Linked DNA regions of Nothobranchius furzeri. The protein of the gene in region 5 purifies or fractionates together with the protein of the main gene of each other region. This does not show direct contact. Links are inferred from orthologs where the notes say so. Each region holds a gene or a part of one and is shown on either strand. Other genes may lie near its edges.

The links.
Region 1: the proteins of Na(+)/H(+) exchange regulatory cofactor NHE-RF2 (region 5) and kctd5b purify together in Homo sapiens (affinity purification with mass spectrometry; 3 studies listed by BioGRID and IntAct, with this or other methods). This does not show direct contact. The link is inferred for Nothobranchius furzeri from reciprocal best matches to the Homo sapiens genes NHERF2 and KCTD5.
Region 2: the proteins of Na(+)/H(+) exchange regulatory cofactor NHE-RF2 (region 5) and lysophosphatidic acid receptor 2 purify together in Homo sapiens (affinity purification with western blotting; 3 studies listed by BioGRID and IntAct, with this or other methods). This does not show direct contact. The link is inferred for Nothobranchius furzeri from reciprocal best matches to the Homo sapiens genes NHERF2 and LPAR2.
Region 3: the proteins of Na(+)/H(+) exchange regulatory cofactor NHE-RF2 (region 5) and phlpp2 purify together in Homo sapiens (affinity purification with mass spectrometry; 3 studies listed by BioGRID and IntAct, with this or other methods). This does not show direct contact. The link is inferred for Nothobranchius furzeri from reciprocal best matches to the Homo sapiens genes NHERF2 and PHLPP2.
Region 4: the proteins of Na(+)/H(+) exchange regulatory cofactor NHE-RF2 (region 5) and prkd1 purify together in Homo sapiens (affinity purification with mass spectrometry; 3 studies listed by BioGRID and IntAct, with this or other methods). This does not show direct contact. The link is inferred for Nothobranchius furzeri from reciprocal best matches to the Homo sapiens genes NHERF2 and PRKD1.

Annotation. Positions count from the first base shown.
Region 1 is NC_091756.1:32,816,439-32,820,652, reverse strand, and holds part of kctd5b (BTB/POZ domain-containing protein KCTD5), read right to left. Parts: intron 3,614-4,214; coding exon 3,505-3,613; intron 735-3,504; coding exon 643-734; intron 525-642; coding exon 429-524; intron 227-428; coding exon 122-226; intron 1-121. UniProt on the Homo sapiens protein: Its interaction with CUL3 suggests that it may act as a substrate adapter in some E3 ligase complex. Does not affect the function of Kv channel Kv2.1/KCNB1, Kv1.2/KCNA2, Kv4.2/KCND2 and Kv3.4/KCNC4.
Region 2 is NC_091744.1:9,323,500-9,328,467, reverse strand, and holds the start of lysophosphatidic acid receptor 2, read left to right. Parts: upstream 1-1,774; 5' UTR 1,775-2,407; intron 2,408-4,968. UniProt on the Homo sapiens protein: Receptor for lysophosphatidic acid (LPA), a mediator of diverse cellular activities. Seems to be coupled to the G(i)/G(o), G(12)/G(13), and G(q) families of heteromeric G proteins. Plays a key role in phospholipase C-beta (PLC-beta) signaling pathway.
Region 3 is NC_091749.1:59,352,555-59,357,547, forward strand, and holds the start of phlpp2 (PH domain leucine-rich repeat-containing protein phosphatase 2), read right to left. Parts: upstream 3,079-4,993; 5' UTR 2,934-3,078; coding exon 2,706-2,933; intron 1,860-2,705; coding exon 1,576-1,859; intron 1-1,575. UniProt on the Homo sapiens protein: Protein phosphatase involved in regulation of Akt and PKC signaling.
Region 4 is NC_091758.1:8,117,057-8,121,270, reverse strand, and holds part of prkd1 (serine/threonine-protein kinase D1), read right to left. Parts: intron 2,433-4,214; coding exon 2,334-2,432; intron 1,884-2,333; coding exon 1,723-1,883; intron 1,550-1,722; coding exon 1,443-1,549; intron 1-1,442.
Region 5 is NC_091752.1:53,720,746-53,724,959, forward strand, and holds part of Na(+)/H(+) exchange regulatory cofactor NHE-RF2, read right to left. Parts: intron 867-4,214; coding exon 651-866; intron 1-650.

The DNA.
Region 1 (4,214 bases), on a different chromosome or scaffold from region 5:
AACAAAACAAAATAGCTGTGTGTGTCTACTTGGGACAAACAACGGCCAAAAGGGTGTGTGTATGGACAATATGGGGACCATGCAAGTGACCAGCCCGTGGACAAAAATTTGTGGGACACACCTCTCCGCTGTTGTTTGGCAAAGCAGACTCCTCTCCCTTCACCTCCCTTGACACAATCAGCAGAAACTCTGACTGGTGGGCCCGCCCGTAACCTATACTGACAAGCTGCAACAACCAATCAGAGCACAGAAGGCATGCCCGGATCATGTATGCAGACATTTGAGAAAGATCCCGAGTTGCTGTTTGTTTTGTTCAAATTCATTTCTAATATGAAGGATTGGAACTTTGTGGGTCAACTTGAGCACAGCAGGGTGGGTGAAGCACGACAGGACGACTGCTGATGCAACCCTGCTGGGAGGAGATTTACCTGCTCGAACTTCCAGCCATCAGACATGGTGGACACCATCTGTGTCAACTCCTCCTCCTGGCACTGCAGCACCCGATACACATGCTTCACTGGAACCTGACACAAACCAAATGAGATGAAGATGGGACGATTTTAAACCTATTTTGTATGAATATAGGAATTGTGACACTTAGATCTTTGGAAAACTGGTGTGTCTGCAGAAACTGGAACATACCTGGGATGTTTTGCAGTCACGCTCCCTGATCTTATCCTTGATGAGCTTTATTAATGATGTGATGTTATAGAACTCTGCTTCTTCCAGCACACCTAACAGGAGCAACAAACATCTCATTCCCATGTAAAAAAAAACAGAACCACGGCTATGAAATGATCCAAAAGTATCTAAGTGGTAATGTTACATTTAAAAGTTGTCCTTATAACTTTTCCTAAACCAAAAGGTGAATTCAAGACTTTCCAGATCCTTTAATTGGTGACAATTTACACTCAAGACAAACTGAACTGTACATATATGGCCTAGAAATCTAAACCGTCTGCAGCAGAAGAAAAATGATTTTGCTTTGCATGGCAGTCTAGCCTCACTCCATTGGACTCTCTGTGGCCCTGGCCAGTCTGGAGGCATGCCAGCCACAGTGCTCTATCCGTCTGGTGGGTCAGCCACAGTTCTTTATCGGTGTGGTGAACGACTGCTACTGAGCAAACCTAAGATGGTGACTGCTTGTTTGAAATAGCTTTGGCATCAACTTTGGACCATTTAGAATTTGGTTTCTCTTCGAGTAAAGAGCAGATAGATACTTAAATCCTTTATTAGAAAAAAGGATGCATTTGTGTTTTCTTTGAGCGTATGGTGGACTGCCCCGTTGACTGACATCCGTAGCAGTGAGTACGTCTCGTTACTTGTTGTCTGATAGCATGTAGAGACCATTTGAAAGACAACCGTAGATCCCGCCCTACAACTGAGAGCTGTCCATGGGTCGTGGCAAGACTATTCACATACACTCTCTGGCCACAATTATTGGTGCCAGACAGGCTGGTCGGAGTATTTCAGAAACTGCTGATCTTCTGGGATCGTCACACACAACCATCTCTAGGTTTTACAGAGAATGGTCCGAAAAAGAGAAAACACGCAGTGAGCTGCAGTTCTGTGGGCGAAAATGCCTCGTTGATGCCAGAGGTCAGAGAAGAATGGCCAGACTGATAGAAAAGCAACAGTAACGCAGATAACCACTCGTTACGCCCAAGGTATACAGAAGAGCATCTCTGAATGCACAACACATCAAATCTTGAGGCAGATGGGCTACAGCAGCAGAACACCACACCTGGTGCTGCTCCTGTCAGCTAAGAACAGGAAACTGACGCTACAATTCATGCAGACTCACCAACACGTTGCCTGGTCTGATGAGTCGATATCTGCTGCTGCATTCAGATGGTATGGTCAGAATTTGGCATCAACAACATGAAAGCATGGATCCATCCTGCCTTGTATCAACAGTTCAGGATGGTGGTGGTGTAATGGTGTGGGGGACATTTTCTCGGCACACTTTGGGCCCCTTAGTACCGATTAATCATCGTTGCAACACCACAGCCTACCGGAGTATTTTTGCTGACCATGTCCATCCCTTTATGTCCACAGTGTGCCCATCTTCTGACGGCTACTTCCAATAGGATAATGTGCCATGTCATAAGGGGCGATGGTGGCACAGGAGTTAAGTGCTCACCTGTAATCGGAAGGTTGCAGGTTTGAGTCCTACTCAGTCTGTCGCTGTGTCCTTAGGCAAGATATTTAACCCACGTTGCTACTGGTGGTGTTCGGAGGGACCGGTGGCGCCAGTGTACAGCAGACTCGCCTCTGTCAGTGCGCCCCAGGGCAGCTGTGGCTACAATGTAACTCATCACCACCAGGGTGTGAATGTGTGTGTGAATGACTGTTGTTAAGCACCTTATGAGGTTCCAGGACTCTAGAAGGCGCTATTTCATATTCAGGCCATTTACCATAAGGCTCGAATCATCTCAAACTGGTTTCTAGAACATGACAATGAGATCACTGTCCAATAGATGACCTTTGAGATGTGGTGGAACGGGAGATTTTCATCATAGATGTGCAGCCGACAAGTCTGCAGCAACTGTCTGATGCTTTCATGTCAATATGGACCAAAATCTCTGAGGAATAGTTCCAGTACCTTGCTGAATCAATACCATGAAGAATTAAGGCAGTTCTGAAGGCAAAAGGGGGTCCTGTCCGGTACTAGCAAGGTGTACCCAATTCAGTGGCCAGTGAGTGTATATAGGATGGCTTGCCAGGCTAGTTTATACATGCTCTGAACTATTGCACTTCCTCTTCTCGCAAAGTTAATGTATTGTATTATGCCAGTTAAAAGTTTCAAGTGCTTTATTAAAAATGTACTCATTTCCAAAATCCTGAAAATACAAAACACTTTTTTCAAAAGTTTTTAATTTGCAACAATATATTCTTTTAAGCCAGTATTTCACCAAACGACAGAGAACAAATAAATAAATCATGTCAGTTTTATGTTGGACACAGTAAACTGACTTGCCAGTTTACACAAGACATCGGACGTATTTTGCAAACAAGCGGTGAAAGTCGTGTGACTGTCACACAATTCTTTGTTGCAATTCAGTTAAAAGTGTCTCATGGATAAACTAATGTCATAATGTAACCTTGTATGTTCCCATCACGTGGAAATTAGCTCTTGGCCACAATCCAGCATGTTTACAATCATGTTTTGAACATCAAAATGCCACAGATTTGTTGCCAGTTCCTCAATTTACCTCACAAACACTCCACTTTCAAAATCACAGAAAAAAGGCCCAGATGGGTCTAGATGCAGGTAATGACAGAAACCACTGAGTCATACTTGTATGTCTGGATTTTTATTCACAAAAATGTTCAAAGAGAAACGGCAAAGTCTAGTGACTCGTGCAAGAAAAACATTTCACATGCTGTTCACCATCAGCAGCTGCAGCCCAACGAGACCACGGCTTTAGTTTTACTAAAGTGTTTTCGGTTGAGTTTGTTTTATTTTTGTGCTGGAGTGAAACTGAGGGTCAGAATAATTACCTTCCTCTGCCAAGTCCCTGTTAAGCACCAGTTTGCCATGCCTCAAGTAATTAAGCACCGGCCCGAAATATGTAGGGTCTCTGTCAATGAGATAGGCACCAGTTTCATCCTGAGAAGCAGAAAACACAAGAATTAATCATGCTGCCATTTATGTTTGAACGAACATTTCAGCATTTGCGTCTTCTAAAAGTGAGAGACCTTTATGGCAAACTATTTTCTGAAGTGTCACTGCTTCGTTTATAGATGTCCATCAGGAAAGCAGACCCCTGCAGTAATCAAAACATTGTCTTGGACAGAAACAGCTCCCACTACAGAAAACTCAAGGGATGAGAAATTTGAGGTCAGCTCCTGTGCCAATGTTCTCTACAGAGGCGGAGATGACATGCTCACACGGCGCCACACACACATCCGCTTTGGGAAATCACTTGGGTATTATCACAGGCCTTGGGTTTCACCCTGATTCCTGCACAACCGCTGGGTATTCCCTTATTTCTGTGCTGTGATTAGACCGTCTTTATCTCTCGCGGGGGAAGAGCAAGCTAACACAATTAGAGCAGAACAGAAAAAGATTTGAAACAACCGACTGATCCCACTGAGGGGACTGGGAGGTAGCACCTTCACTTACCACCATTAATTAGCCTCATCTGGAGTGTTATGGGGTTAACCCTTCACATACTCATAAAAGGTGGTTTGTGCAGATGTCAAGCCTC
Region 2 (4,968 bases), on a different chromosome or scaffold from region 5:
ACCGAAGGATGAATCAGTCATAATAGTGTTAGTCATAATAATGACAACTGTTGTAGCCTGGAGGCAGCTGTGGTTGACAGCTGGCCTACCACTGCTTTCACTACGATCATTCAAACTCAGCCGTATTAGTAAACAGGAAAAGGTGTTGGTTATATCTGTGGTTTTTATTTTCATAACATCTCTGTCTGCAGCATGATCTTGAATTTATTTTATTTTTTACCTTTGCTCTTGTTCTCCACTCCCCTTTTTTCTGTAACTTCAGATGGGTCCTGTGACAGTTAAGGCCGTAACTCCTAGTGTAATCAGCTCAACCCGGCTACTGGACTGTTACACACAAGATATGTAGGCTTAATACGAGACACGCTCTTCTTGTTGCTGTCAAGCAAGAAAAAAAAGTATGTGTCTGGAATTCGCCCTCTCATTGACGCGATGACCTGGGCTGGAGATCGTGTCACCAACCTTTGAGTTATAGCTGATCCAGACGGGGTTTTATTGCTGAAGGCTGAGGTTTATCTGCTACCAAGCTGTGAAGTCGTGTTTAGATTTGAATGTGTGAATGCCTTCACTCACCGTGTCGCTTTAACAAGAAATGTCATTGTTGTCGTTTTTGACAACTTTTCCATGAATGCTTTTAATTAAAAGGCAACAGTGAGGGTGGAGGTGGACTGGAATACCATCTTTGTTCTGGTTTTGCCGGATCCACAATAGATCTCCATGGTTCCTGCAGGAAGTCAGCAGCCCCCGCGCCCCCCAATGAATTTTCAAAGGCTTGATAGGTCTTTGCTGATAAGCCCTCCTTCAGGCCTGACTCCAGGGCCTTATACTTTGTATCAATACAAGATAACCTTGTTCTTTGTTATTTTTTCTTCTTCTCTTTTATCTTATTTGATTAAATCTCTATCTTCTCACCCAGGACCACTATTATTTACATGATATCAGCAAGAGCTGTTTGCCCCTCCGAGCCCCGACACCCAGGAACTCAAACCCCTCCTTCATGGTTATTCATGAAGATGTTTTATATAGCGCCTCCTCAAGATAAAAATCACAAGGCATTTCAGAAGAACAAAATAAAAATAACAATAATATTTAAAAAATATTAAATACGGAGAAGTAAAAATTGTGATTAAAATGGGAGAAAAGGGAAAGAGAAAAAGAATAAGAATGAGGTAATCAGTGGATCATAAAGGATCATGAATAAATACTGAGTAGCTGAGGAGATTTAAAATCCTTCTGCGTAAAGTAAAAGTCACGAGAACGGAGCTGGTGGACGTCACAGTGTAAAAAGTTGGAACCCACTGGTCAGACCAAACCACCTGGTTGTAAAAACAAAAGCTCTGGATATCCCTGGGTAGGTTTATCTTATTTATAACAATTAACAGTTAAAAATGAGCTAAACTGGGGAAAAAATGCAAATAAATGAATGGAAATGATATCAAAAGGGTCAGAATTCTTATTCTAACAAAGGCCTTGAAATGTTGCATGATGAGATTACACAAATGGCTGACTCACTACTTCTGAACTACTTCTTCCTCACTGGGGTCATGAGGGGCTGGTGCCCAGCTCCAGCACTCACCAGGCCAGATGTGAGGGACACTCTGGACACTGGCCTGTGGAGGAGGAAACTGGATCATCTGCAGAAAAACATGCAGAACGGCTGCAGCTGGAACCTGCAACCTACTCACTGCAAGGCAAAGTGCCCCCACTCAGCCCATGACACAAGCATTTTAACAAACATTTCTCTGATTTTTCACATTAATGAAAAAGCAATGGGTGACATTCAATTCAATTCAATTCAATTCAATTCAAAAATACTTTATTAATCCCAGAGGGAAATTGAGTAGACACATGTGCATCTTTAGGCCTCTGGGTGAAATGGTTTCCCACCTTTGTACTGGGATCCCTCCTTGGCTGCCCTGGCTCTGATCATCCACCTCCCTGCTGTGATCATCGGCCTTTTCTGGTTGAAGCCATCCTTTCCTAGCGAGGCTCTGATTGGCTGGTCCTTCTTCCCATCAGCCGACAGGGGGCGACAGGAGGCGGCTCCACAGACGTGAAGCGCTCCAGCCTAGCTCCCTTGTGGGACAGAGCTGCGCACTGTGCAGATCAGGAGCTCCGCACCGCGGCTGCCGCACCCTTCCCTCAGCGGAACGCTGCGCGCAGGTAACGATCTGCTCAAATTACCGGAAGCGAGATTCCGTTCAGGTGACGGAGGCCGAAACCCACCGCGCTAAAGTTTCAGGGACGTGAAAACTCCCCCCGGGGCAGAGCTTTGATGTGATCCATCCACCTCCTCCACCTTGGGACAAACGCTCGTTTCTTTAAAGTGTTTTATTTTTATTTCTTTCGTCTTTCAAAACTCGATGTTTGTGGAGCGCAAGTGACCCGAGGAGGACTCGACCAAGGACGAGTAAGTAGATCTGTTTTTTCTCTTTGTGAAACAATCAGGTGGAAAACCCGGAATTAAGAAACTTTTCTTTTTAAACTGCAGTTTCATCCCTAAATCCGTCCATGCCCCTTCTGTGTAATGCCCTCATGCTTCCAGACAACTTTACTCTAGTTTCAGCAGAAGAATGTGTTATCTCCTGCAGATAAGACTTTTGTATCGTCCCTTTCCCGGATGCCCCTGTTGCACATTCTCCAATAAAACAACTCACTTTAATAGGATTTTCTTTAGTGGTTCTGTTTTGTAGCAAACAGGTTTAACAGGTTAAATCCACCTTATGATAATGCAATCAGAACAATCCTGCAATAAATTGAAGGATCAATGTTCAGGCGTTGTTGACACACTGCACCTTTTTTACCATCTGTAAATACTACTGCACTGATCATTTTTTGCATGCACACCTGAAAACAAATGTTAGTTATAGTAGAAAAACCAGTGCATTGCTAGTAATATAGATTTTTTTTCAAAATAACAAGCTTGACTGAAACTCACTTGTTGGAAATGAATGAGGAAACTCAGCAAATTATCTAACTTGAGCCAAACTGTGTTTGTTTTTCATAGTTTTGCTCACCCTAAGGGTGTAGGGAATGGATTTATATTCTGAGAACAAGATGCAAATTTCTGTCATTACCATCACACGGTCACCTTGGTCTTTAGTTTTTATTTATTATCAACATGGAACATTTCTAAAACATCTCAGGAAATGTGAAACTCCCCACACTTTCATTTTAAACGGCTTCCTCACCCCCAAAAAGATGAATGAAAAACTCAACTATACCTATTTCTGTTAAATACCTTTAAACATCTTCCCTTATGGCCTGTTGTCAGTCACACATTCTTGCTTTTGGTTTCGATGACCACAGAAGATGATGGAGGGATGAAATTTGTTTGACTGAACGAAAGAAAAGGGCATTTATACAAATCAGAATGTTCCACCATGTGCATGTCACAGGAAAAGCACACCTACATATGACTCCTGTGGTTTGATCAAAGAACTAATCATAATGGGTTGGAAATGTGTTTTCCCCCACCGTCGTGTTAATTGTAACCTGTGTGCTTTTCTTGCCGTTAAACCGCCAAGACTTTTTTTCAGAGGCGAAAGGAGGGAGAAGAGACCTGGGTGTGGCTTTTCTTGTAATGACTGGTTTGCATTCAAACCAGTGTTTACAGATTCAGCTGGGTTTTTTCACATACAAATAACAGACAAGTTACACGTGAAAACACACAATCCTGCTAACATTGTCCAACTAGAGCTGCAAAAAGTCCATAGGGACCTACACACTTGCAGCTTTTGCACATAAAACAAAAAAATTCAACTTTTATGGAAAACAAATCACAAGAAAATACTATGCTGCTGTTTTATTCTGACATAAGTTATCATTTTATATTTATAGATAAAAAATGGGAATGCTTAAATTGCTACATTAGTGCTAGGAATGGGGGAGGGGAGGCAGACGAGGTGTTCTTGGTTAGGAAGGAGGTGGGGAGAAGGGATATTTCCTTTGCAACTACCCTTTGTCCTTTTCCCCCCACAAAGCTCCTTAGGCATGAATGATAACGGGCTAATTAGTGAGTTTAATAGGGTTTGTTAGGTGAGTGTGAGGCTGGCATCAAGCTGTGCTGAAATTTGAGTTGGTTGTTTACATACCACGTCAGGGGGTCCCATTTGCTAGGAGGGTTTTGTTCTTGTCACATGTTCTTTCTGAGGGTTAAAAGTCCATCTCTAAATAAATCCATTTAGGGGGATTCTGCGCAACTTGTGCATTACACGCAACTCTGAGACAAATGTTTACAGATGTTCCAGATGGCTGACTGTTGGCTTTGTGTTTAAGGAAATGCAGCCATTTTTGTCGTTTAATTCTTTGGAGGAAGAACGAGGATATTTCTCATCAAGACAGCTTTAGGTTTGCATTATTTTCCTTGGTTTAGATGGGGCATGTGGGGAAATTATTGAGATCATGAAACAAGCTAGCCTGGTAAACCATAACCTGGCCAAAACCCATTGAAACCATCCAGTCGTACTGCACAATCTATGGTTGTCTTCCAAACTGTCACTGTACACAATTGGACAGCACAAGGACCAATCAGAGCAATGAATAATGTCACGTGTTCATTGCTGCAGAAATCAGTCAACGGGGCAGTCTGCCGTACACCATCAGAGAACAAGCAAATGCATCCATCTGCTCATGTCTCAAAGAGAAGCCCAAGTCTACGTCGTCCAAAGTTGATTCCAAATCTGTTTCTAAAGAGTGCCATTTCTGTATACTGCCATCTTTGTAGTTCGTCTCCATCAAAGTTCTAGTGCTAAGTCTGCTCAAAATCAGTAGCAACAGTAGCAAAAATGTTTTGCTACTGTTGCTACTGTTGGTCAAGATTTCTAGGCTACTCCTAAAGAGCTTGAGGGATTGAAGTCAGATCCCCCGCTGCTACGCCTCCAAGATATCAAGCATTGGTAACCTGAAGCATGGTTAATGCTTGACGCATTTACTTTCCGCTTGCTGATGCGGCTCGCGGATGGAACGCGC
Region 3 (4,993 bases), on a different chromosome or scaffold from region 5:
TGAACCTCAGTCACAACTGCATTGTTTAAAATGGAAATCACAATATCAACTTCCACATTATTCTGGTTCTTTTTTTAAATGTTTTTCTAATTTTTTATTCTCCCTGTGTTTTACTGATTTTTAACTGTTAGTTTTAGAAATTTTGTTGTTTTTCCTTTTTATCTTTTATCTCTGTTCTACATGACTGTATAACGCCGGTTTAATTAACTAACATTTTTAGTGTACAGTGCCTTGTTTGGTTGTAATGCCTTGTGAATGCGCTTTATAAATAAAATTGGTATTGGTATTGGTATGAACACAGTTGATTTGTTTGATTCAGTGATGAAATGCTCCTGTAGGCACTAATGATGGCTGAGGAGACATTTCAACAGTTAGATTAAGGTGTTAAAAAACGAACAAACAGCGAGGAGATGAGTTTTACTTTTGTTTTTACTAAAAGACACTAGAGGGTGCTAAAAGCAAACCAAAGTGCTTAGTATCCCTTTAGGGTCACATCTCAACAGCAGATGCATGTTGTTCCTATTGGTGGTCACTAATCTGAGCAGACCTTCATGACATGTGGGGTCCCACAAGGTTCGGTTCTTGGACCACTGTTCTTCAATCTCTACATGCTTCATTCTCTTCATGATACATAACGATCATATGCCTTTTTTAAATTATTGCAATAAACTTTAAATGGCTTTTACTGTATGTGTATTCTGTCTTTGGAGGATTCTTCTTTTCATTAGCTTAAATTGAATCCAAAGCTTGCTACAAACAGCAAAAGCCAGCTTTTAGGAATATGAGATTTAAATCCACCTGACTGAGCTCACTGTCAGACATCTGGAATGTAAAACCACTGGCACTTTAGATGGTACCACAGAGCTGGGAGGCTTTTCTGAAAAAGTTCATTATTTTAAGAAAATTGAGTTGAACACACTGTGACTGCAGCTAAATCTAAGCTTTTGTCCTCGTTTGGATTATATTTCCACGCTGGGTTTTCAAGCTTTGTGGTCATGGATCAGTGACCCAGACAATCATTTCTGAATGTCTCGTGGATCTGAGAGGAGCACCTGAACCTTCAGTGTGTCTCAGTCAGGTAGGAGAACGAGGCGGCGCCGTGTTCTTCCTGTTAACCTCAGCTCATTTTTGTTTCAAATTACATAAACAATGTGAAAGTCTGTGTGAAACTCTTGTGCTTTGCTTCTGTTAGATGTTAATGTGCATCACTGTGCTCCTAACAGCTGCGTCTCTAATGGAAGTGCTCAGCTTCCTGTGGAATCTTTGCTGTAGTTGAAACATGCTGCATGATATCTCATGTTTCACTCCCACTATAGCTGTGCAACTGAGATACAAAGCCTCATTTTGATGCTGCATGATTTATTTCTCTGTTTTGTTTACTTTTCTATTAAATGCATGACTTCACATTAAGCTGTGAGCTGACAAAGAGTTCCAAGTTCAACGTAACGGTGAGCAGAGTAAATCCAGTGAATATCCTGCTGCAGATCTGCAGCTGCTTAGATGCTTGTGCAATGGCGTAAATGATGTTGGTTTCATCTTTAGCTTTTTGTCTCTACAAAAGCGCAGGACATTCACCTGATGAGGTCTCCGTGCAGCTGAACGTAGAGGCCCTGTCTGTCCCTCTGGGCACACAGCTCCTCCACGGTGGTCTTGGTGGAGCAGAGCACAAGCTGCAGGTCTGTCTGAGGGGTGCAGGAGGTCTGTGGGCCAGAGGCGGGTGGTTGGGGGTCCACCGTTCCACCATACAGGCACACGCAGCCCCGCTGTGTGTCCCCCTTCAGCCAGTCCCGCTCCCGTGATCCAAATCTAGTCTTTCTTGTCACACAGCTTCGACTCCCGTTTCTCTTCATGTTGCGCTGCTGGTAGAAAAGAGTGTAAGAGCCTAAACAATGTGAGGATTTGTATGACTAATAAGTTATAACTAGATGTGAATGTCTTTATGCCTAAGGAGCAGTTGTGGGCCATGGGGTGGCCATGTACCCCCCTCCGAGGCGCCACTGCAAATGAAAAAATTCTAGATTTGTTCAAATGTCCTAAAAACATGAAGTGTGGTAAACACTGATTAACAAACTTTCAAAAATTATGTTTTGAAAGCCGATAAGCTGTCAGAATGTTTATTCATAGAGCCAAAACCTTATAAACTTCATGTTTACATTTTTAGAATGTCCTAAAATGACAATAGATAATAATAGTAATATAGAATTGTCCCTCAGCTGTTCACAAACACTGTTTTATTCTAACAAGTTCTCTGAGACTCATTTATCTGCTTGGATGAAGTAAAGGATGGAATAAATGAAAGAGCATGCCGTCATCATGTCAGACAACTGTAGGCCTCCGTGTGTGTGTGTGTGTGTGTGTGTGTGTGTGTGTGTGTGTGTGTGTGTGTGTGTGTGTGTGTGTGTGTGTGTGTGTGTGTGTGTTATGTAATGTTGCTCATAATAAGAGATGATTGTCATTCAGTAAGCAGGGTACCAGAGCCAGTTAACACACGCAGGTGCGCTCTCGCTCTCGCTCACGCACACACACACACACACACACACACACACACACACACACAACACACACACACACACACACACACACACACACACACACACACAGGATACGTTAGAAATCCTTTGCCCGTTTCTCTCTGATACAAACACAAATGTTTGACCGGCTGCAGTGACCGGACCTGAAACCCTCTCCCATTACCAGAAACCTGCCTTCAGGACTCGGATCCCCGTTGCAGAGTGAGCTCCGGGACCACTGCGGCTGCCGCGACCCGCAGTCAGGTTCGGCCCCGCCTGGTGGACCACCGTGTCCGGCTGCCTGTCGATGCAGGCGCCGTTATCTCCAACATCCCCTCCTTCTTTCTTGATGCCAGCTTGGATTTTAGCCGCAGAGACCGCTGCGTTGTTCTCCTCCTCCTCCATCGCCATGAAGGATCCCATTAACAGCGCCAAAAGGCGAGCGCCTCCCCAGTGCCGCCGCTAATTCCCGCGGAGCGACGGAATTTCATCCCGTTCGAGCGCCGCGCTGCCATATCCCGACTGATCTGCGCGCTGTCACACGGGCCTGCAGCTGCCGGAGAGCGGATCAGTAAACATCAGGGGGGCGGGTACTGCTCCAGCCAGTGGTTGTGTCAGAGGGTGGAGGCTTCCGGTAAATAATAAATAATAATGAGCCAACTTTTACTACTCTCCTCCTCATTGCAAATAAAATCAGAGACGGACCTAGAGTTGGGGTGGGGGCAAAAGTGTGGCACGACCGGAAGTTTATTGTTGCAAGAAAAGTTTTTTAAAATTTTTTTTTTACTTTTTTAGGGCCCCTGGACAGGGGCGGTTGTAGGCCACATTTTCCAGGGGGGCCAGTATTTTTTCATGGGGGCGCAAGAAAAAAAGGGAAAAATTAGTGCAATATGAAAATTCTTTTTTGTCGTCGCCATTTTGTGCTTGTGCACAATTTTGCCAAAGGAAATTCATTGATGTCAGGAAAATAAACTGTATTGCTTGCCTTCGTTTCTCAGCGTCTTTTCCGTTAAGTCGTCCTCAAGAATTTCTTTGGGTCCCATTTAAACTATTTTTAATCTTTTATTCAAAAATCCACCAGGTAAACAGTTCTGTCCACAGAGTGTGCTGCGCTCTAAAGGCTCCGTTTGAAACGCTGCAGCACATTAGTTCCCGTCTCCGAGGCAGCGCAGGGGACAAAAATCCGATCTCTTCAGCACAGGGGCCATAACAGGGGCCAGGGCCGGTTCTATAGGAGCCCAGGCCCCTGTTTAAAACCGCCAATGGGGCGCCAGATTTTTTACTGCGGAGTCTGGAGTCATGACCAGCGCTGACATAGAAGATATTTCAAATCAAACTGAGTGTAGCTTTTTCCCTTTGGGACCCATCGGGGCGGCTTGATGAGGGGCAATAGCTTCCAACTAGAAAACAAGAAAGCCTATAATACTATTATACTAAGTATTAGCACTCTTCATAAACATTTATTTATTAAGCTACAGCTGGTGTTTTTGTGATGGTGGCACAAGAATTAAGCGCGTGCCTCATAATCAGGTTGCAGGCTGGGGCACGTGCTACCCCTGGCGACTCCCTGATCAGAACAGTTCTGTAACTTTCTTTTGCCTCTTTGCTTTTTGTGAGCTAAAATCACTTCTCAGCTCCAACGGTTTAAAATGAGCCCCATTTCAAACTTCAGACACAATTTAAACCCAAACAACAGACTTCCATAGTTCAGCTTTGTTTTTATTTCACGTTTTATTCGCTTGATCATTTTCTCCAACCCAAAGACAAGAATACACAGCATGAAATTGAAAATATTCCATTTAATAGTTTACAACTTTTCATCTTTACGAATCATTTCATATTTTCAGTCCTGCATTCACACTCCTTCAAGCCACAGAACTGGGAAGCAGTTCGATGTGTCCAGCTGATGAGGAAAAAAGTCTAACTCGTGCCTTTCATCACTCCACAAAAAGAAGAAAAAAAACTAAAACAGAAAAATAAAGATCAAAACCAAAAAGAAGGCTCCAGACATCGTTTTATTTTCAGTCAGGACAGGCCTCGGAGGAGGGAAGGAGATCCAGATTATGTTACAGTAGATGCATTTTTTAATTGAACAGGTAAAATAATCATGGTGGTTATTTAGTTGCTCTTCCAAGCCCTTTACTCAGCAATTTCATGGGAAAAAAAAGTCCAAGTAATCCACACTATGGATTTGAACTTGCTCTAAACAATAAAACAAAACAAAGCAGTAACAAAATTGTGAGCGCTTCCTGAACAACTTCTAATTGTACGTTAGTACTGACCCATAAAAGGGGCGTGACAGATTTCAATATTTAAACTTTTCTTGCATTTGCAAAAGAAAAAAAAATAGGTTTTTCGTCAAGAGTAGAAATGGCCTTATTTACAGTTTTTCACATGCAGCTCAGAAGTTGAAAATGCAGCCAAAAATTAAGTCCTATGTAGACAAAAGACAAGTTTCCCGCATCACACACTCTCAAATGCGA
Region 4 (4,214 bases), on a different chromosome or scaffold from region 5:
ACTTTTGGAGTACCTTATCCAGGGTAGCTACTCGTAACAGCCTGGTGGAGTAGCTGAGCTTAACTCACACTGATTGGTCGTAACTCAGTGGGAAATTACATTGGCAGACCTTGTCCAAAACAACCAGGATAGTAAATGTAGGAGAGTTGCTGGTGAAGTCGAATGGAAGCAAAAGAAAATAAGCATGGACTGCCATTGATATTCTGCCCTGGGGCTTACTGACAAAATTTAGGCTGTTAAACAATGGCACCACCAGTCGCCCCGACCACCATCAGCAGGCAAGAAGGGTGTTGCCTAAGGACACCACAACTACGGCAGACTGAGTGGAGCTTTAACCTGCCATCCTCTGTTTATGGGGAGGGCACTTAACTCCTCTGCCACCATCGTCCATAAAGTTTAAGGCACCTTTAACACAGATCAGACAACTCTAGTGGCAAGTGCCCTAAACAGTATCAACTCATTATGAAACATTTTTACTGATCAGGATTAAACCAGTAACTCCGTATCTCAATAGTAATCACATGGCTGGCAATGCTAACTAAACTATCCTAATACTATACTCTAATCCATTACTGGGACAAGCTTTTGAGTACATTATCATAAAATGTTTACTTTTCCCACCAACATTTTGTTCACATCAATGAACTTGTCGATTCATCACCAAGAAGAGATCTAATGAATTCTGTCATAAAAGCACTGACTGTTAATTCACTCCTGCCTGGTCTCACTCCTGTAATCCAAACAGATTAAATCACAACATTATAACAAACCCTTTTAAATTTGTTCCCACATTGATTGATTTGTTGATAGATAGATAGACTGATTGATTTGTTTATTGACTGACTGAATGATTGACTGAATGATTGATTTGTTGATTGACTGAATGATTAATTGACTGAATGATTGATTGATTGATTGACTGATTGATTGATTAACTGAATGATTGATTGACTGAATGATTGATTGATTGACTGATTGATTGATTAACTGAATGATCGATTGACTGAATGATTAATTGACTGAATGATTGATTGATTGACTGATTGATTGATTAACTGAATGATTGATTGACTGAATGATTGATTTGTTGATTGACTGAATGATTAATTGACTGAATGATTGATTGGTTGATTTGTTGATTGATTGTCCATCTATCTATCAACAAATCAGTCAGTCAGACAGACTGACTGACTGATTTGTTGATAGACAGATGATTGATTGATTGATTGATTGATTTGTTGATTGATTGATTGATTGATTGGAAATGTTTATTTGCACATCAGACAACACATTTTAAAAACAATAAACAACGATAGAGAAATATGCGAAGGAAAGGAAAACTACTTGCTTAAACGGTATTAGATCAGTTTGAGATGAAATACCCATAAACCCTGTTTGGATGCTGAGATCCAGTCACTAAGGGTTTCAGCTGGATTACGTACCTTCCTGGGAAACTTTCTTCCAGGGATGAGGAGGGTACATGAAGGCCGCATTCTGGATCTGATCGTTGATATCTTCATCTTCATTGAAAGGGAATGTTCCACTGAGACTGCAAGCAGAGTTTTACAACTGAAATATGCACTGCACCTTTAACCGACATTAGATTGTGTTTGCATGGATTAAAGTCAACACAAACAAACACTCTAATGCACCTAAATAACTATAAACACCAACTGGGTAATGCCTTTGAGACAAAAACCTTCCCTTCACATGATGCCCTACCTGACATAAATGATGACCCCGACAGACCACATGTCCAGAGAGCGGTTGTAACCTTTGTTCCTCAGGACCTCAGGAGCAAGATATGCTGGCGTGCCGACAACTGAGCGCCTGAAGGACTTCTCACCAATTATTCGAGCAAATCCAAAGTCACAAAGCTTCACCTGCAGTTGGACAATGAAGGAGTATTACTAAAGATCTCACCCTAACCATCACCTCTCACCAGAGGCAGGCCTTAATAAAGGAAGTCAATGTTTGAGTTTCACATCTTAAAAAGTAAAAGGTTATTTATATATTTTTTTTTATTATTTTTAACATTGCCAAATTATCTTTACTTGTGATATGTCATATAAGGGACTTTCATTTTATACCAGTTTTCATTTATTACTGCATTTGTTCAACGATTGGCCTAAACGATTTAGCAAAAAAAAAAAAAAAGTCTTTCTGTATGAAACAAAGTGTGAATAAAGTAGTGCAGGTCATGTAGTCGTTCTCGTAACTGTGCCGCTGCACTTAAACATCATTTGGTTCTGAATCTGGAAAGCAGTTAGCCATTTAGTGGCCCAAGTTTTAAAACAAACCAGTAAAGCATTAAGCCTGAATACAGATAATACCTGAGGAAAGGAATCTGCAGAGGCCAGGAGCACATTTTCAGGTTTCAGGTCACAGTGGACAATGTTCTTGAAGTGGAGATGACGCAAAGCCACAAGAATCTAAAGACAGAAACATCCCACTATTACACCAAGAGAAATGTGGTTTTATTTTGTGGACACTAAGCAAAAATGTTTTTGTCTAGTGTTAATTTGGCTGGGTCAGCATTACTAATGTTGGGCAAAAGACTTTCAAAGTCCATCTCAAAATCAGAGGCTCTACAGCTTGCAGGTTTCTTTTGTGAAGTACATAGAACAGCAGCAGAACACTCTATGAAGACAAAAACAGGTGATCTTCATTAGACAACTTCTTTGTTTTGACATGTGAACATTGTTCACCAGGTAACGAGAAGGTTCTTAATGAAAACTCAACATCAAAACACCAACTTTACATCAGAAAATTTGACAAAGATGTTGCAGTTTTACTAATAATCCTTGATATATAACGTGCTTCTGCCACTGACCAGCATGTCAGGCTGTTTCACACCGAGAGTGGTACGAGGCGGTCCGGTTTCCATTTCACTTCCAGACTCACTGCCACTCAATCCGACTGCTGAACATATCCAGATATCTGCTCCCACAAGGGCACCAAAATATTAGAAATTTGACACAAAACCTTTAAAGCTACAATGGCAAATCTACAAAACAAGCTAGCTTAAAACCTCTTTATTTGCCTTTTAATGTTTTAACATATAGCTATGGATATTTTGTGGGGAGTTTAAAAAAAAGAAAAAAATGTAATGAATCCGGTAATCAGTCTCACCAAACTGCTGCACATTTTAATTTACCTGGGTCCTCCACTCATTATGCACTGTGAGAGGTTCTCCACTCAATAACATCTCTAATTCCCTCTGGGATTAATAAAGTATTTTTGAATTTTAATTTAATTGAATCAGAGAAGGAGAAACAGCCGGCTGCTACCACTTCAGCTTTAGGACAAACTAGCAGAGTCCCAAAAAGAAAATCAGCATTTCATGTGACAGACAACAAAAGTTGTTTGGAACAAGAATACAGCACCTGGTGTTTAGTGCTCTCCTTTACTCTGGCGATCCCACATCGGGAGGATGAAAGCCGACAGGAGGGTGAAAGTTCTGTGAAACCGTTTGTGTTTAAAAACTAGCTTGTTTTGTTATTATAGCTTTAAATATGCACCTGTAAAAATGATGTGAACCATCATTCACTGTAAACTGATTTCACCGTCATTAATACTAAAACTAAAGCTGGCCAAAAATGCTTATTAAATTGGGATATACCAGATGCACCTCACTGAAACATGTCTCACAGTCTGGCTCATCTCATTTCTTTACCCTCGTCATAATCTGCATGCAGCGTCCAGGTCCGGATCTGCACCACAGCTGGTGTGAACGCTCTGATTGTACTCAACAATTTCTTAATGATGCAGAAGCCGTACAAAAACTGGACCGGATCCTTTCCACGTTCAGGGTCAACTAGGCTAAGAGTTATTCTCTAAGCTCCACTTCAACACTATTACTGGTCTTGTGGGTCAGTTTCAGTGGTCTGTTGGTGTCCACCCCCCAATCTTCTTCCTGACCATGTCAGAGAATGGAGAATTACACCATCCACCATGTACTCAGCATCCTGAGCATCTTCCAACACACTGTCAGCAGTCTCCAATGGCTGAGGTGTAATAACGTTATCTGCAAGTAGCCTGTACTCAGCTTTACTTCCCCCTGACACATCTGTTATGGATTAGAATTACATTTAATTAATGACCTTAAGACATTAAAGATTCATATAGAATATGAACCCCATCTAATGGACACTGGGTTATTTAAATCAGAAGATTGGATCTTTTTATTACAGGGAAATTAAATAAACACTTTG
Region 5 (4,214 bases):
GGTGGAGATTCTGATTAAGTACCATCTGACTTTTGTCTTTCATTTAGCAGAGATGAACATGTTGGCCCTCTATTTCAGAAAGCCGTCAGCTGTGATCGTCTCGGGGGGTGTCACATCTGTAGCTGATTAATGTGAGAAAGTGAAGCAAAATGCCAAAAACTGTCCTGCTGTTTTATTTGTATGCAGAAAATTTAGATTATTTGTAAAGGGGAGAGCGATGGAAACACGCGGACAGCTCTGTGTTCCAGTCAGATAGTTATTTATTATTCACAGAAGATAAAATGGAAAGTTGAGTGGAAATTAAACCACACACACACACACACACACACACACACACACACACACACACACACACACACACACACACACACACACACACAAGGTGAGGGGTTAAAGCACTTCTCTTGTGGTAAATTTCTCACATGCTGTTAATTATCCTCCACTCTGACGTGAAGCAGACAAACGGCGTGTCATTTATAAATAATCATCCTATCGTTTTCCTTTCCCCCATTCTGCAGAGTCAGCCGAGGGCTTTTGTGAACAAAGACACCCACACAATGCTCGTCTGGACATTTTTCTCTCAGCTTATCAAGAGAAACTTTGAAACATTTCGGTTTTAAAGACCCTGGTATTACACAGAAGGAGCGTACCTCAACGAGCCTGTCCTGAGGCCGAAGTCCAGCAGAATCTGCCGGTGATCCTGGGTCTAGGGATCGGATGTACTGTCCGGGTCGCGACCGATCGCTGTGAAGGTTGAAGCCGTAGCCCGTCTTGGACCGCACCAGGTGGCACAGGCGTGGGACGAGCTCAGATGGGTCAATCTGAGGACGGGACTCCGACGGCTCGTCCTCCTGGGATGGAGACTCCTAGGAGAGAATAAAAAACATGTTCTATTTTGCTTACCCACAATAATTTGACACATAAAAAAAAAAAAACACAAAGCTGAAACATTGGCTGCAGGAATAACATTTATTTAACAGTGGTTGATTCTTCGTGGGTTTATAATTATCCCTGACTTCACGGATGCCAATGCACCACAGGAATTCAGAAACAGAGAAAGTTTAACACCATTCTCAAAAAGCACCGTTCACTTTAAATCAGAGATCTGCAGACGTAGCTTGTCTCATCCAGGTAGAATCTGTATGGTTTCTAATCAAAGCAAAAACAAAACAACCACACTGCAATGAGAAAATCCAGCGTTATGCACAGTAAGTTAGTTTTTATCAGTGTCAGAGCGGTGAAGGAATCATGCAGGACCAGAGTAGGGATGTGTCGTTAGCTAACCTTGCCTCAGCCTGATAGAACGCCTTTAGTATAAATTAGATCATCTGAGCTCATAAATGCACTCCTGGACAAACAGTCATGACTTTGTAAAGGCAGCCGTTCCATTACTTTTGGTAATACTGTGTATGTGAGCTGGAAGGAGTTATTTCCATCTCCACAAACAAACCCAGAACTCGTATGTGCAGGTAAAGAGTCTATAGCGGCACAAGTTCTGCAGAAGCAGGTGGAACAGAACTGAAAGGGACAACAGGGATAAAAGGAAACTCAGATTATCTGGACAAAAATGATACCACAAGACAACCATTATAGAGTGCTTAGCTGACAAGAACCAAGAGGTGGGGTGTGATTACCAAAACAAACCTAAAAGCAATACAAACCAGAGCTGACCTAAGGCTAAAGATGAAGGTTTTTTGTTTTTGCAGCAGAATCGTCAAACATCAGAAAGTTGTTAAGATACTTTTATACTTGGATTCAGTCTTTCCAAAGACCCACAACACAGCTTAAATACTTCTGGCATGAACACCAGTACTTAAAAATATGGAACACTGAAAATACTTTTTTTTAATGATTTCTTCTGATTATAATCTGTCACTCTGAGTTTTTCATGCAGGCTAAACATGAAAATAGTTTCCTACACCTATCTCCTGCTTTAGCTGCTGATAGAAAACAGACTCTAGGGTTTAAAAATCCTGACAGATCTACGTCACTCTGTCACTTAACATTCACGGACTCCTCTTGTCTCGTAACGCTGAAGGCTGTTGTTGGTTTAGCTTCCAGCAAACAGCAGAGAATGTCTCAACTAGTAGAAGCTAACCGTTAGCATTAGCAACTCCACCACAAGGCAGAATTCCTCCATGCTTGTGTTATTTATGGAGATGGAACATCAACGTTGCAGAGCAAACAGAGTCAGTGGTACAGGTGTGTTGCTGTTAGACGAACAGAGGCGAAATGTTCAAGCATCAGATGACTCTGCAGTTGTCGGGTGTAGCAGAGACGGACAGGAAGCTAAGTAATGAGAGCTAGTGGAGCGCTTTGTGGCATGGTGTGGAAACAATCATCTGACCTTGAACGTGAAATTTTAGACTTCAGAAGAAACAGGGTGGAGTCAAACACTGTTTCCATCATGGGAGAAGAAGTGGAGGTGGTTGAGGAATACAAATGCCTTGGAGTTCACTTGGACAACAGACTGGACTGGAGAAAGAACAGCGAAGCCGTTTACAAGAAGGGACACAGCAGACTGCACTTCTTGAGGACGCTTAGGTCCTTCAGTGTCTGTAGCAAGATGCTGCAGACCTTCTACAAGTCTGTTGTTGAGAGTGTAATCTCTTCAGCTGTCGTCTGTTGGGCTAGTAGCATCAGAAGCAGGGACCTGAAAAGACTCAACAGCCTAATAAAAAAGGCTGGTTCTGTTCTGGGGAAGACTGTGGACCCACTGGAGGAGATGATGCAAAGAAGCATTCTCCAGAGAATCAAGAAAATGATGGACAACCCTGAGCATTCTCTTCACAAGACTGTCCGACAACGGAAGAGTGTCTTCAGTCAGAGGCTTCTTCAGTTTCGCTGCAACACTGACTGTTACTGGAGATCCTTCCTGCCAACAGCCATTGTAATATACAACAACTCTTTGATGACTTGATTATTATTATTATTCTGAGCTACTACAGCAATCAATTTCCTTCTGGGATTAATAAAGTATTTTTGAATTGAATTGAATCTGAAGCTACTTTCTCCTTTGGCTGAATTCTCCATGCTGAAACAGGCGCACCGGAGCTATTTTCCCCCAGAGCACGACTTACAAGGCATTCATTCCTAGTAGAGACCACTGCAAATGTATTACAAAAATGACTGAAGGACCCCTTTAAAGCAGAAATACAGTGTTTTTACACAACAGCACCATCTAGAGATGGACAAATGTATTGCACCTTAAGCCTGTCTCACCACTTCTGTAGTTACAGAAGAAAGCAACAAATTTTTGTCATATGGTCGCACAAAGGAACACGAGAAACTATGGAAGTACTAGGACACGCGGGGCTGTAACCCCCAGACTGGAGGAGTGGCTAAAGCAGATCCCAGGAAAAACATCCAACATCTCAGTCCAGAAACCTGCGCAGAACCCTCAAGCTCCAAGGCCTCTGGGAGAGGACCCGAGCTTGGAAGGATGAGACCACCCACGGAGGGTGAGATTGGAAATAATTATATAATATAGATTTACTTTGAGAAAAGTGAGAAAGGTCACTAACTCTGCATCCGTCTAGGTACATCCTCAAACTCTGGCGCACGCTCTGCGATCGACATCTGTCCTTAAAGAGCAACTTGCAGGTTAGACTCCCATGAACCAATGTTTAGAGAAACATAATAGAAACTCGTTTAAAACATTAATTTTTTCACACATTTAATTATTTATTATTTTTTGTGAGAAATGTTTTTTTTTTTTTTTTTTTGCCAAACCAAGCGACGTCAGCTGAGGGAGCCCTGTTAGCTTAATCCAGAGAAAACTATGGACTCTAATGGCGGCTCTGACACAGAGGAAATTTTAAATGTTTATAATTTTACTTCTGATGGACCAAAACCATAAAGTTATGAGTTTACTGCACGCCCCTGTAGCAAAGACCAACCATCGGCCAACGCAGAGAGAATGTGGGGAAGCAGCGGGGGAGCAGCAGGTGAGTTAACGAGGCTAGCTTAAACTCGTGCGCTACCATCACAATTTTTTTACAGATTACGACATGTACCAGACAATTAAAATAGTATTGGTCAGTTAATATAATATTAATACTAATGAGCGTCTGCCAGCTGTCTCAGACTCGTTAGAATCCGTTCACGTAACGTAGTTTAGCGCTTAGAGAGGGAGAAAGACGCCTGTGATCCGGTTCTGGAGGTCATGCGGGCTTCTGTGAGCTGGATCCGACCCAGACTCCAGTGAGCCAGTT